2 linked regions of the Elephas maximus indicus genome follow. The protein of the gene in region 1 interacts with the protein of each later gene in a pairwise test. Links are inferred from orthologs where the notes say so. Each region holds a gene or a part of one and is shown on either strand. Other genes may lie near its edges.

Region 1 (7,470 bases):
AACTCTCCAGCTTTCCTTTCTATTATCTTTCTTTTCTAGTTCACCCCCATGGCCCGGCTATTACTCATTGTTAGGTATATTGAAAAGGAAACTGAGGCCTAGGGAGGGGAAATGGCTTGTCTGCTGTTCCCTCCACCCCTACCCCTAGTCAGTGACAGCGCAGGCAGTGTTCTCAGGGTGGTCTGTGGACCACTTGCAGCAGAAATATGCAGATTCCTAGGTCCTGCTCCTGACCACTGAATTGGCATTCCTGGGGGCCTGGTGAAGGAACTGCCATTTCAAACAAGTTTCCCAGGTGATTCTTAGCACACTGCAGTTGACAACCACTGGCACTATATCTAGTAGGTTCTCTGTCACTCTCACCTCGCAGCTTCTAGTCCGAAGCTGCTGGGCTTCAGTTTCTCAGATTTTCCATCTTCTTTTTTTTATTTTTTTTCTATTCTGGGAATAACCTGGTGGTGTAGCGGTTAAGTGCTATAGTTGCTAACCAAAAGGTCAGCAGTTTGAATCCACCAGGAGCTCCTTGGAAACTCTATGGGGCAGTTCTTCTCTGTCCTACAGGGTTGCTATGAGTCGGAATCAACTTGAGGGCAACGGGTTTTTTCTTTTTTTTTTATTCTGGCAGCTTCTGAAGCCCGGGCCACAGAGTTCAGACCCGAAATGGAAGTCATTTGGCCAAAGGCCAAGATAAACCCCTACCCACACAGCCTGGCTCCCCAGTGTCTGTCTGCAAGACTGTGGGGACTTCAAGGAGGCAGTGTTCAATTATGCTGTGGGGAGGCCAGAGGAAAACCAGGACCAGCTTCCTAGAGGAAGGAGTTCTTAAGCTCAGCCAAGATAAGAAGTTGCCCTCTACACTGACGGGGTGGTGAGCCATGCTACTCAGAGGGGGAAGAGCCTTAGGCATGGGACACAGTCTGGAGCAGCTGGTTGCTGACTGCAGGCCTGGGTCCTGGAGCGTGGGGTATGGCAGGTGGGTAATGGGATGCTGAGGGGTGACGTGAGGCTATGGGCACCATCACAGATGGCCCTGGAACCCCAGGTCCTGTCATATGTACCTATTGTGCAAAGTGCCCTCAGGTGGCTCAGACTGGCACCATTCAGGCCAGGAGTTGACCCCTCAGAGAATAAATGAAGCAAAGGTCAGTTCTACTGTCTAGGTCTAGGAGCTTAAGGGATCCCAGAATGTAGAATCCAGAGAGAGAATCACCCAAGGGCAGAAACTGATAAAGTACTAAACTGAAAAAAATCACTAAGTCTGGAGAGAGAATGTGAGGGGTGTTAAGTGGTCTGCAACCCTCAGCCTGACAGCCCTGGGCTGAACTGGCAGGAGAGGTTCAAGCCCCAGTTCTGCCATTTGTCGGCCATGTGGCACTTCACCTCTCTTGGACTCGTGCGGAAAATACGGACAAAAACTTCCACTTCACAGATCAGCACGAGGAGTTAACAGGACAATTTGATAAAGTGCACTGTTACTGCATTTCCTAAAGACTTCTTGGGTTAAGTGGGCTGGCAATGGGCCTGGCAGGGTTTGGGTAGGCCTGGAGGGGCACTGCCAGGCACTGATAGATCAATCTTTTCCTCTCTCCTGAAGACTGGTGTCCCCCCTCCCTCGCCAAACTGATCTGATCTGGCCCCTCTCCTCCTCTTCAGTGGTTACCGAGATGGCAGTGCTTACTCGGCGTCATCCACGCAACCTTCTCTCTATTCCGGAGCTTGCCCTTCTCAGTGCTAATAAGCCTGGTCCATGTATCCAGGCAACCAGATGGCCGGAAGTCAGCCCAGGCACCCAAATCCACTGTTCACTCCTTTGGCTCTGAGAGGGGTGGGTGGGACTGATGAGTTCCTGGGAGAACGCCCTCTCTCCTCAGAGTCTTCTGGAACCCCCCAAAGCCCACAGCCTGTGGGATCAGGGAGGGGGAAGGGGCCATGTTTGATTAGTAAATTCACCGTCAGGCCTGAACTCTGCCTCCAGCCTAAGCGGGTGTGCAGAGGGATACTGATTACCCGCCCCCTGTGTCTGGGGCCTCCTGCAGTTCACAACAGCCTTACTCACTGCCCCCCAAACCCACCCCCAAGCCACAGTTTTCAAAAGGCCCTCCCTGTTGTCACCGCAGTCCTCACTGCCCCGAATGTGTTGGGGCCGAAATAGGCTGTGTCTAGTAAAGCTTCCTTGATGCCCCCACAGGCTCACCGTCACCTCCCTGGCTGAGGGTGGGAGTGCTGACGCTGAGTCAAGGGCCCAGACCCTCCTGGCGGACAGCTCAGCCCGGACTAAATGGTCCTGGGCCATCATGCCTCCACTGATGGGCCTTGGTCCCAGACAGACGCTGTACCCAGGTGAGGTCAGAAGCGCAATCGAGAAGGGGCAGTACACACGCACGCACAAGCACACACAAATTCAGTCTCCCCCCAGAAGAGAACAGAAACGTGCCACTAACGGGGACGACAACTGCTGGCTCCCTAGGACGCCTCGCCTCACCCGTTCCCTGCTCCCACAGCCCCGCCCCAGCACCGCGGCGCGGAGCGAGCCCTGGCCTGGAAGTCAGAGCCAGGCCTGGGCTCCCGCTCGCGGTTACCCGGCCCTGCACCGCCCCTCTGGGAGCCTCAGCTTCCCCTCGTGCACCCCCAGGAGCTGGGAGCGGGGCGTGAACTCCAGGCGGCCGCTCCGAGACCCGGAAATGCCGACCCTCGCAGCGCGGAGAGCGGCGGGTCCGGCCGCTCCCGGGGCCCCTCGGCTGCCGGGGCCCCTCCGCTCCCGGGGCCCCTCGGCTCCCGGCCTCGCGGCGGGCCTGGGCCAGGACCGGCTGCCCCCCTCCTCTCCTCCGAGCCCCGGCGGCCGGCCTCCCGCGGCCCGCCCTGCCCTCCCTCACCATGTCGGAGCGCGCTGGACGCGGGCAGGCAGCAGGCGGCCGGCCGAGAGGCGAGCGCCGCGGCCAGGCGCACTAGGCGAGCGGCCGGGCGGAACCCGCTCGGGCCGTCCCCGGCCCGCCCCCGACCGGGGTGGAGCCCGCGGCCCGCCTTTCCGTTCGCGCCGGAGCGGCCGACCCAGGTAATGATTAACGCTCACAGCGGCGCACCCGCCGGGGCTCGGCGTCCCTGCAGCGCCTGCCTTTCCTCTTAGCGCCGCCGTCGGTGCGGTTGCTCCAAGGAGTTTGGGGAGTGGTAACCCGGGCTTCAAACGCAGACTTCTGCGTCTGAACCGTGCTCTGCCGCTTAGCAGCTGCGTGATCCTAGACACAGGATGACCTCGCCTTTTCCGTTTTACAAGCACTTTGAGGTGTAAGTGACATACGTTAAACTGCGCATATTCAAAGGGCACAATTTGAGAAGTTTTGAGGTATGTATGCCACCGTCAAGCCATCAGCACAATCAAACTATGAACATATCCATCATCCCTAAAAGTTCCTCCTGCCGCTTTGTAGGCCCTTTCTTCCCGCACCTGCATCGACTGATCTACTTTCCGTCATTGTAGATTAATTTGTATTTTCTATATTCTATAATTTTACGTGAATGGAATCATACAGTATATAATCTCTCTCTCTCTCTTTTGGTCCGACTTCTTTCACTCAGCATAATTGTTTTGAGGCTCGTCCATGTTGTTGCATCTTTCAGTACCCTATTACGGTCAAGTCGACTCGTGGAAACCCCGTGTGCTCCATAGGGTTTTCAGTGGCTGTAATCTTAGGGCTTCCTGGGCAACGCTGGGTGGATTCCAACAGTTAGTAGTCAAGTGCAAGCTATTTGCACCATTCAGAAAGCCAGCATGTGTCAATAGTTCCTTTTTATTGTAAATAATTTTTAAAAATTATTTTATAGTATTACATGCTATGGATATGCTACAATTTGTTTATCCATTCATCTGTTGATGGACATTTGGATTGTTTCCAGTTTGGGGCTATTACAAGTCAAGCTGCTCTGACCATTTGTGTACAAGTCATTGTATGGGTATATGCTTTCATTTCTCTTGGCTAAATATCTAGGAGTGGAATTGTGACTAGGTCTGTTTGTAATTTTTTAGGAAACTGCCAAGCTATTTTCCAAGGTGGTTCTATCATTTTACATTCTCAGCAGCAGCATAGGAGAGTTCCAGTTCCTCCACATCCTTGTCAACACTTCCTATGGTCTGTTCCTTTCATTTTAGCCACTCTAATTAGTGTCTAGTGGTTTTGAGTTTCCTTAAGGACTAATGATATTGAACATCTTTTCCTGTGCTTATTTGCCATAGGTAAATCTTTGGTGAATTGCCTGTTCAAATTTCCCGCCCATTAAAAAAAAAAACAAAAACCTGGATTGTTTCCTTTTTGAATTTTGAGAGTATTTTATTTGGGATACGAGAACTTCATCAGATATATGGTTTGCAAATATTTTGTTTGCATTTTCTTACAGTGTCTTTCAAAGAGCAAAAGTTCTTAATTTTATCGGATAAACTTCAATTTGTCAAATGTTTCTTTTGTGAATTGCTATTTTGGTGGTGTTGCTAAAAAATCTTTGCCTAACCTAAGGTCACATTTCTCCTATGTTTTCTTCTAGAAGTTTTATAGTTTTCAGTTTTACATTTAGGTGTATGATCCATTTTGAGTTAATTTTTTTATATGCTGGGAGTTAAGGACCCAAATTCACTTTTTGTATATCAATATCCAATTGTTTCTCCACTGAGTTGCCTTTGTACCTTTGTAAAAAAGTCAGTTAACCCTTTATATGTGAGTTTATTTCTGGGCTGTCTATTCTGTTTCATTGATCTATTTGTCTATCTTGACGTCAATACCACACTGTCTGATTACTGTTGCTTTATTATGTCTTGAAGTTGGGTAATATAAATCCTCTAATATTTAACTTTTTTTTCTATTAGCTTTTTATCCTTGTACTGTTATTCCTCTGCCCCCAGTAGCAACCTTTCTTATGTGTTAATGTGTGTTTTTGTTGTACATATCCTTGCAAAATGCATATTGTTTCATCTGTATGTATTTTCAATTTATGTAAATGGTATTGCATTACATATATCAATCTGTTCATTACAAAACAGAATGCTTAGTGGAAAATTAAGATTCATTCATGCTGCTCTATGTGTACTTAATCTGTGGCTTCTAACTGGTGCTTAGTATTCCATAGTGAGAATCCACCATTGTGTATTATTCTACCAGTGATGGACACTCAGCTTGGCCCCCAACGGTCTGCCATTATCACTGCTACTACCCAAGGCCTTGAATACATGCACACACACATACTAAGTAAAACAACCAAGAAATGATGCTGCAGTGGACATCCTCCTTTAATAGCTACCTGGCCTGTGAGAGTGTTTCTTAGACGACTTAGATATATATACATCTCTATAAATCCAGCAGTTCCTCTTATGGGTACATATATCCCAGAATAGTTTCATATGCTGTCCAGATGGCTGTACCAGTCCTTCTTCTCACCTGCAGTGTGTGAGGGTTCCTATTTCCCTACGTTCCTCATGCAAACATACTCACACTTGGTATTATCCAGCATTTTAATTTTTGCCAGGCTAATAGGTATAAAATGATAGCTCGCTGTTTTACTTTGCACCTTTCTGATTACGAATGATTTTGAGCACCTCTTCATAAGCTTGTTAGTATTGAGGGTTACTGTTTGTAAATTGCTTTTTAATATCTTTGCCCATTTAAAAAAATGTAGAATGCTCTCTTTTTTTAGTTGATTTGTGGGAGTTTATATTTAGACATTAATTGCCTCTCAGTTTTAGATACTGCAGGTATCTCCTCAATCCTGCCATCTGTATGCTAACTTCTCCATGATTTCCTTCGTTGCCAGAAATATTGTATTGTGATATAATATGATCCATCTTTTTTTTCCTCTGCCCTGTGATTTTGTGCTTTTGAAGCTTTATTCGATAAGTCCTTTCCCACTCCTGTCACAAAAATATTCTTCTACCTTTTCTTCCCTTAACTTTACAGTTAGATAAATTTAAGACCTGTTGTCATCACTGGTTGCCATTGAGTCTATTCTGACTCGTAGCACCGTGCGTTACTGAAGAGAACTGCTCCATGGGGTTTTCTTGACTTTAATCTTAACGGAATCAGATTTCTGGAACTTTTCTTCCATGGTATCGCTGGGTGGGTTCGAACCACCAACCTTTAGGATAACAGTTGAGCGCAAACTGTTTGTACCAGCTAGGGACCTAATTTAAGACCACCATATGAAGATTCCCTTTTGTAAGTTAGTATGTTTTTTTTTTTTTTTATGTTAGCTTGTTTTCAAAGATGGCTGTCCAGTGAGCCTTGACTCCCAGTATTCACACCCTGAGTGGCTCTCTCCCATACTGGATCTGGGCTGCCCGTATAACTACTTAAATGTGGTAGAAGTGTCACTATGTGATTTCTGTGTTTAATCAAAAGAAACCTTATCAATTCTGCTTTGTCTCCTGGAATTCTCACTTTTGAGCTGCTCCTTGTCAGAACCCATGTGTAACCTAACTATCAGAAGCCGTCTAACTTCAAGAGGAGAGATGAGAATCAAGGTCAGCACAAAGCTGGTTCCTGTGAAGTGGAGGTCAGACATACCTCCACTCTCCAACTTTTTCACCATTTCTGACACCAGCCGTCAACCCCCACCCCCGCCCCTGCACCCTTTATTTCTCTGCAGGGTTCCATAATTCATTACAGTGGCCACATAGAACTCACAGACCATACTCATGATTATGCGGTCTGGGAAATAACAGGCTGCAACTCGGGGTCAGGATCAAATTGGAAGTAACAGGATACAACTCAGGAAACAGGATATGGTTCTGTAATCAGGATAGCTTCCAGCCAAGATAGCTCAGATTCTTCTCGATTGTGCCTGTACAAAGTCCATTCTCTGTGCCTCCGTCCTGCGTGGGCAAGTGTTACAGTTCTTTAGCTCTGCCAACAAGTGCCTGGAGATACCCTGCTCCACCAGCAAGTCCCCTGCCTGAAGGCTTACAGCTCCCTCTCACTCAGTGGGTGGTCAAGCACACTGCAACCGCCTTGTGCTGGTCTCCTGGTTCCCGCTGGTACCGCTGCTGCTGGGCTGTGCTGTGCTTGCTGCCAGCTCCCCTCATCTCACACTGTCTTCAGTATTACAGCTCTCTCTATGCTGTGTCTAGCACATTCTCGGTGCAGGGACCCCAGGTCCAAAGAACATGCTCCACTCCAGGCTTTTCTTGATGTCTTGATGGTAGTGAGGTCCCCCCCAACCTCTGTGGGATTGGCTCTTATATTCAGTTTCAAGGCACGTCCCTCCCAGCCAGACCATGAACTGACCAGTCCCCTCAGTAGACCACAGTCACTGAATTTGCATAGTAAACTGACCAATCCCTTTGCAAGAGTTTGGTCTAGCCAATCATTTTGGTGGAATTATAAACCCAAAGCCAGAAAGACCATATATAAGAGAAGCTCACTGTGCTTCACCATCCATCATGTGGTGAGATGCCCAGGTCACATGGAGAGGCCACATGTACTGTTCTGGTCC
Region 2 (7,403 bases), on another chromosome or scaffold:
CGGGACCTCCCTGACCAGTGCCTAAGGAGTCAGGACCAGCTGGGATCCTGGGACATGTGGGCATGAGGCGTATCCTAGAAGGTGAGCTGTCACTGAGACACGCCAGATGGCTTACAGCCCCAAGCCCCAGATGAGGTGGGCGGGCCTGGTTGACACCAGGGCGGCGAACCACCCATGCTGGGCCATCTGTTGTTTGCACAGGTACATGACTGCCCAGGGAGGGGTCCCCAGGATGACTGCCCCGTAGCCCACTGCACAACCAGCTGAGGGATGGAGGGGGAGAAAGGGGAAAAGGAAGGGAATGAGTAGGGGACAGAGTGGGCGAGGGTGGCGGAAAGGTGTGTAGGGGCCCTGGGGATAAAGCCAGGGAAAGGAAGGCACCATCAGAGGTACCTGCAGACTGCCTGGCCGCAGCTCACCGAGGCTCTGCGCCTGGCTTGGTGGGCAAGACCAGAATCAGCGACATAGTTTCGGGAGCCCAACGTAGAATGGGGAAAAAATTGTTAAGAATTTCAAGGTGGCAGCAGCAGTGCTTTGGACCAAGTGTGGGCCATTCTGAGCAAGAGGCCCTGGACAGATGCATACTGGGGAGATCACTGCTCCCCAGTGTTAACCAGTCACCCCACTATATGGCCCAGCCCATGGGGGTAGGGGGGGCTCCTGCCCAGCACTGCCTCTGTCTGCTATCTGATGACATGAGTCCACCACAAATGCCAAGGGGCTCTGGGTTAATTTCTTTGCTTGAAATGGCCTTAGAAGACAGCCCAGCTTTCCAAGTCTACATATTTCCTGTTTCTCTCTAGAATTGTTTTTAAATTATTTCCATCAACTTAATGCCTTAACTTTGAGCACCTGTTTAAAATAATTGCTTATGGAGTAAGGGGAGAGAAGGGGGCAGTCGCTGGCCACTGGCTGCCCTGCGCATCAAGCCTTCGACATGAGCCTCCTCCAGCAGACGGCAACAGTGCTGGAGGTCCTCCTGGGGGACCAAATGCACACAGCTTCCCAGAGACCTCGCTTTATCACCTCAGGGCCCAGAAAGGAAGAGGCTGCCCTTGGGCATGGCACTGCATGGGGCTGCCCAAGGACCAGGCGCAGTCATCTGTCCTCAGGGCTCACCTGTTTCCTGGAGAGGCTTGAAGCACCAGGGCACACCACGGATGCTGGAGTCGAAGCAACAGCCTCTGCTGTTGCACTGCTCTGGGGTGACCTGGGGGTAGCCGCAGTCCACCCTATCCTTGGCCGGAACAGCACACTGGTTCGCCGCTGCTCCAGACAAAGCCCAGTCAGTGTCCGGAGTACTTACAAGTTTGGGTTGCTTTGTTCCCTCCCTTTTGCCACTTTCCACTTTCCACCATCTCTCTCCCACCACCCACCAGCCCTGAGTTCAAATGATGGTGATACCTTCTGCCCCTCAATATTGTCTTTCCCTGTAAATAAACCAAGCCCATGGCCATCAAGTCCGTTCTGACTCATGGTGACCCCTTGTGTGACAGAGTAGAATTGTGCTCCACAGGGTTTTCTTGGCTTTAATCTTTACAGAAGTAGTTCATAGGCCTTTCTTCCACAGCACCACTAGGTAAGTGCAAGCCACGAATCTTTTGGTAGTTGCTGAGCACAAAACTTTTGCGCCACCCAGGGACCATGTAAATGGTTAAAGGAAAGTATCTGTGAATGCTAAGTTCAGCAGCCTCAGTGACCCAGGAAGTCTGGCAAGTTGCCTAGTGACTGTCTCACTCAACGTGTTCCATATCACTTTCTCAGGAAATCAGATACAGCCTGGGTACCCTCCAGCTGGGAGGGGCTTGTGCAAACCTGGGGTCCCCTGAACCAGGAAACAAAGTTTCCTTTCACTGCTCTACCAAACAGAACTTGCCCTGACTTTTTTATGACAAATATTTATACACTCGCTAGAGAACATCACCAAGTATGCTGAGCCTGGTTAACTTCTCCTGTCCGTTCTCCCATCCCCAGATTGTTCAGCTTCTCACAGCTTCTCCATACAACTTTCAGCCTCCAATATTCACTTTTCAGGTAAGTCTAATACACCCGTGTGTTCAGCAAAGTTCACTTCATCTCATCAACTCACTGGGTTTTCCTTCAGGAAAACAGAAATCCCACGAAATCTCTTAAATCTTCTATTGCTGCAGTTCAGAATTTCTTATGCCGGTGTGTTCCCAAACTGGGTTGCACATTGGACCACTCGTGAATCTTTCATAACACCACCCCTGTCTGGCTCCCACCAAAACATTCTGGTGTAATCCATCTACTGTGGCTTAAGCATTGGGATTTTTCAAAATTCTCAGGTGATTCTTAAGTTAGGGACAACTACCTGTGGTCCTGCTCAGTGATAACTGGATAAAGCCACACCATAATCTCATCAAACTTGGGTAAGGGGACAGCCACACCTCCACCTGGAGTTCAGTGCAAGTGCTCAATGAAAACTGTTCTTTCTTCTAATTTCTCATGTAGGCTTTGAAAATGTTCCAGAAATAATCATTTTCACTTGTCTTTCTTTCTTTTTTGTAAATGTGCTCAAAGGATGCCCAAAGATGGATTGCACTGCAGAAACCCTTGGCAAAAAAGGCCTTGGAATAGTGGGCAGGGAGGGACCACTGGGGGCTGGCTGCGACACTGACTGGGAGGGCTGCCTTAGGTAAGTTCTGAATCTTCCCTGAGCCTTAGTTTCCTTGTCTGCAAAATGGGACAGTAAGACCCTCTCTGTAAGTTCATGGTGGGAAAACGTGCAGATCTCACAATGATCATCATTAAATGAGGGCATCCTCCTGGCTCTCAAGCCACGGAAAGCCCCCTGAGCCTAGAGTTTCTGCATGTCTTTTTCCTTCACTGTACGTCCCCCATGCCCATCAGCGACCCTCTTTCCAGAGGCGGTACTCACACAGGCCGATATACTCTCCAGCTGATCTGTAAAACCCCAAGGCCAGGACCATGGCTAGCAGCCAGAGCGCTCGGGCCTCCATGGTGCCGCAGGCTCAGGACCAAAGCTGAGGAGACTGCGCACACCTGCCCTGAGACACCTTTATACCCCTGTGTTTGCACAGGCTCCAGTGGTGTTTGCTGGTGGGTTTCCTCCTGTGGCCTCCGGCTCCGCCTACTTGGCTCTTACACTGGATTTTAAAGTCTCCAGAAGGACAGAAAGATTGGGCAAGATTTCACTCCCTGCAGGGTTATCACGCCTCTCTGTGTCAACCACCACCTGGAAGACGGGGAGAAGATGATAAGGGCTCCACTTGGGGCTGGAGCGTGCAGTCGACAGGTGCTGAGACATTCCGTATTCAACAACAAGAGCTCCCACAGTCACTTAAGGCCAGTTCAGTCTCTGATACTTGAAAAGCAACAACTACATGTCCGCAGGCTGGGTACGTGGGATTTCATTTCTCTCTTACAACACTTAGAAGGCTGTCATGGATTGACTTGTGTCCCCCCAAAATATCTGTCAACTTGGCTAGGTCTTGATTCCCTTGTATGATTGTCTACCATTTTGTCATCCTATGAGATTTTCCTATGTGTTGTAAATCCCATCACTATGATGTAAGAAGATGAAGTAGCGGCAGTTTTATATATAAATACTATTATATACACTGATGAGGTCTATGACATTAGTAGTGTCTTAAGCCGATCTCTTTTGAGATATAAAAGAGAGAAGCGAGCAGAGAGACATGGGAACCTCATGCCGCCAAGAAAGCAGTGCCAGGAGCAGAGCACGTCCTTTGGACCTGAGGTTCCTGCACTGAGATGCTCCCAGACCGAGGGAAGACTGACGAAAAGGACCTTCCTCCAGAGCCAACAGAGAGAGAAGGTCTTCTCCTGGAGCTGAAGCCCTGAATTTGGACTCGTAGCCTACTTGACTATGAGAGAATAAATTTCTCTTTGTTAAGCCATCCACTCGTGGCATTTCTGTTATAGCAGCACTAAATGACTAAGACAAAGGCAGAAATTCCTCTTTTTTCTTTTTTCCAGAAAAAATTATTTATGTTCTTAACCGTATCTTAATAAATGTATTAAATAAACTTATTAACACCAGTTGGCACCCCGTTGACTCCCTACCCCTGGCAGCCTCGTGTGTGTCAGAGCAGAACTGTGCCCCACAGGGTTTTCAGCGGGTGATTCAGCAGAAGTAGATCACCAGGCCTGTCTTCTGAGGCACCTCTGGGAAGACTTGAACCACCAACCTTTCGGTCAGCTGCTGTGTGCATTAACTATTTGTACCACCCAGGGACTCTAAAAAATAAACTTATTAGGTACATTTTAATTAAAGTATAACACACCCACTTGGTTTTTGTAAATCCAACAGTTCAAAAGACCCCCTGTCCAGAGATATCCATTTTTACCACCATCTTAGCTAGCCTTCCAGAAATCTTTTATCTAGATTCGGGTACATTTTTGGAGCCCTGGTGGCACAGCGGTTAAGAGCTCAGCTGTCAACCAAAAGGTCAGCAGTTCGAATTCACCATTCGCTCCTTGGAAACCTGTAGGGTCATTATAGGGTCACTATGGGTTGGAATCGAGACAATGGCAATTTTTTGTTTGTTTGTTTAGGTACATTTTTAACACAAATGGAACCTTACTATACACCTTCCCCTAATTTGCATTTTTAAATTGCATATCTATATTGGAAATTGTTTCCCAGCGGCATATCTAGATGAGACGGAAATAATTATACCCATTTTCTGAAGGGAGAAACTGAGGCTCAAAATTTAAGTTTACCCAGTAGATTCATAAGAGTTGGGATTCAACTCTCTTCTGTCTTAACTCTTTCTGTTCATAGTCCTGTACCACCTACGCACTGGGCAGAACGGGGGACCTCATTCCCAGGAAACTGTGGAACCCTAGTTATCATTGTGTTCTCTGTGTTTCTCTACTGCTTGGGGACTCTTACCTATGTGCAGGAAACCTGCGAAAGGCAGAACCTGTCTAAGGTAGAAACCTGTCAGAAAAGGAAACCTAGAATATTTTCCATTAATGCAGAGAGATAGAAAAGTGGTTAATTGAACCCTGTCAGAGGCAGAAGCCTTTTGAGTCCTGGAAGAAAACAAGGCAGTCCCGTCGAGTTCTGGCTCTCACAGGTTTCTCTGTATTCGCTTAATCAGGTTGCTCAGGGACTCCTCCGGGAACCTCACTGGAAAATCCCCCAGGTAGGTTTTGTACATCATCCCAGGAACTGGAGCACCTGGCAGCTCCTGCTTAGACTCCTGGTACATTGTAGGGGAGTGGGGAGAATCTGAGCTACCCAGGTTGGACCACAGAGCCGTCCTTCACTGAATGATGGTTGGGAGCCAGACTGTAAATGCTTCGGGAACAGGGACATGTCCCACCTCATGTAGCCTGTGTCTGCCCTCACACTCAGTAAGCCCTTAGGGAGCCATGCCTGCCCCTGACACTCAGTAAGTACTCAGGGAGCCACGCCTGCCCCCAGCACTCAGTAAGCCCTCGGGGACCCACGCCCACCCCTGACACTAAGTAAGCCCTCGGGGACCCACACCCACCTCTGACACTCAATAAGTCCTCAGGGACTCACGCCTACCCTGGCACTTACTAAACCCTCGGGGACCCACACCCACCTCTGACACTCAATAAGTCCTCAGGGACCCACGCCTACCCTGGCACCCGGTAAGTACTCAGAGATCCACGCCCACCCCTGACACTCGGTAAGCCTTCCGTGAATTGATATGAGTCAACACTCACCACCTGGTTCACCACTCCTCTTAGGGCAAGTGAAGTAGAGAAGAAAGGAAGAGTGATTTCTGCGCTGTTTTCGGGCATTTTCTTTGTCCCCAAGGGAAGATAGTGAACTGAGGCTAAGATCTAACATGGTTTTATGTTATTAGAAAGATCCTCACAGGGGAGATTTCCTGGGTGCTTTTTCTTACCAGACCCCTGCCATCCCCGTCCCTCAATACTCAGAGGCCAGGCAACAGGTGGGCCTGGACCTGGTCCCAGGAAAACATCAGTACCAGAAACCGGCTGGTGCACCTACAGCCCTTGTTGTCGGGGGAGCAGGTGGAAGGTTGTTTTCAGGCTGCGAAGCAGAGAATGTCTCCAGGAGCGGTGTCCCTTCCCCCTGCGCCCACTGCTTAGAGTCACCAGGAGAGCTGGAACACCTGGTTCTGAGGCCAGGTACCTCAGAGTCCCTGAAGGGGGGCCCAGCCCATTGCCCACCCAGCCTGAGGGCCACTGCCCCGGTGTATGCTTCTGGTAACTCAGGATATGTTGACTGAGCACCTACTTGGCAATGCCTGGAGCTTGGGGCTGGGGAAGGAATAACAGAGGTGACACACTCCTGTCCTCAAAGCCACAGCAGCGGAGACAGTGTCATGTCATAACTGCGATCATGATACTGGGAGACTTGGTTCCAAGCCCTGGACTGCATGCCCTTGGGCAAGTCACATCATCACCTGCCTGTGCCTCAGTTTCCTTGCCTGTGGACTAGTCCCTCCCCACAGGACTGTGGTGAGATCTCTGGAGCCAGGGTGGGCTGGAGACACACACCGACCACTTGTCAGGACAGGGGTGACAGCGAAGACAGAGACAGCGTCACTGACACACCACACACGGCTCTGGCAGACTAACACACGGTGGGCGTGGGGAGGATGGAGATGAACCCCACCAGGTGGAAACAGCACAGGATTCGTAGAGGAAAGGTGCTCGAGCTGGGCTTTTGGAGACTGAGGCAAGTGAGTAAGTGTTCATGGGTGCAGCAGTCCCTGGGTGGTACCAACGGTTAAGCACTCAGCTGCTAACTGAAAGGTTGGGGGTTTGAGTCCATCCAGAGATACCTCAGAAGAAAGGCCTGGAGGTCTACTTCCAAAAAATCAGCCATGAAAACTCTCTGGAGCCCAGTTCTACTCTGACGCACATGCGGTTGCCATGAGTTGGAGTCAACTCAATGGCAACAATTTGTTTTTCTTCCTGTCTGTGTGTTCAGTCTTTTAGGTTCCAGTGAGGCCTTATCAGGGGCCCAGGCCCTGCCAGTCACCAGCAGCAGAAACCAGGGGTAAGGACAGCCCTGCCTTCAGGGGCCCAAAGTCTGGAGCCTTCCTGGCCTTCCTGCTCTCCTGGGGGAACTGAAGCTCCAGGGAGGAAGTAAAGCTGGAGGCCTGAGGAGTATTGGACCTCGGGCCCCATCCGACAGGTGGCTGTGTAGGTGCCCTGAGATCTGGGGTGAGCAAACACAGGCTCCTTCCTCCCCCTGAGCAAGGCGTCTCTCCAGCAATCTCCCAGCTGTGAGCATGGACTACCCAGGAACCTAGCCTTGAAAACCCTCCCACCTTAGGCTTCATGAGCTGGTACCTGGGGGAAGGGAGTCTCCTGGAGGGGCTCAAAAAGCAGGCTGTGAGGTCCCAAATGCCACAGCTGCAACTCTCTTCCCAGGAAAAGCATGG

What was found.
Region 2: the proteins of PCBD1 (region 1) and TFF3 interact in binary tests that used the Homo sapiens proteins (3 or more experiments, as listed by UniProt). The two-hybrid records come from large-scale screens. The link is inferred for Elephas maximus indicus from reciprocal best matches to the Homo sapiens genes PCBD1 and TFF3.

What each region holds. Positions count from the first base shown.
Region 1 is NC_064834.1:16,846,080-16,853,549, reverse strand, and holds the start of PCBD1 (pterin-4-alpha-carbinolamine dehydratase), read right to left. Parts: upstream 3,005-7,470; 5' UTR 2,877-3,004; coding exon 2,874-2,876; intron 1,901-2,873; exon of another isoform or gene 1,679-1,900; intron 1-1,678. UniProt on the Homo sapiens protein: Involved in tetrahydrobiopterin biosynthesis. Seems to both prevent the formation of 7-pterins and accelerate the formation of quinonoid-BH2. Coactivator for HNF1A-dependent transcription.
Region 2 is NC_064820.1:226,085,135-226,092,537, forward strand, and holds the start of TFF3 (trefoil factor 3), read right to left. Parts: upstream 3,002-7,403; 5' UTR 2,982-3,001; coding exon 2,900-2,981; intron 1,267-2,899; coding exon 1,120-1,266; intron 1-1,119. UniProt on the Homo sapiens protein: Involved in the maintenance and repair of the intestinal mucosa. Promotes the mobility of epithelial cells in healing processes (motogen).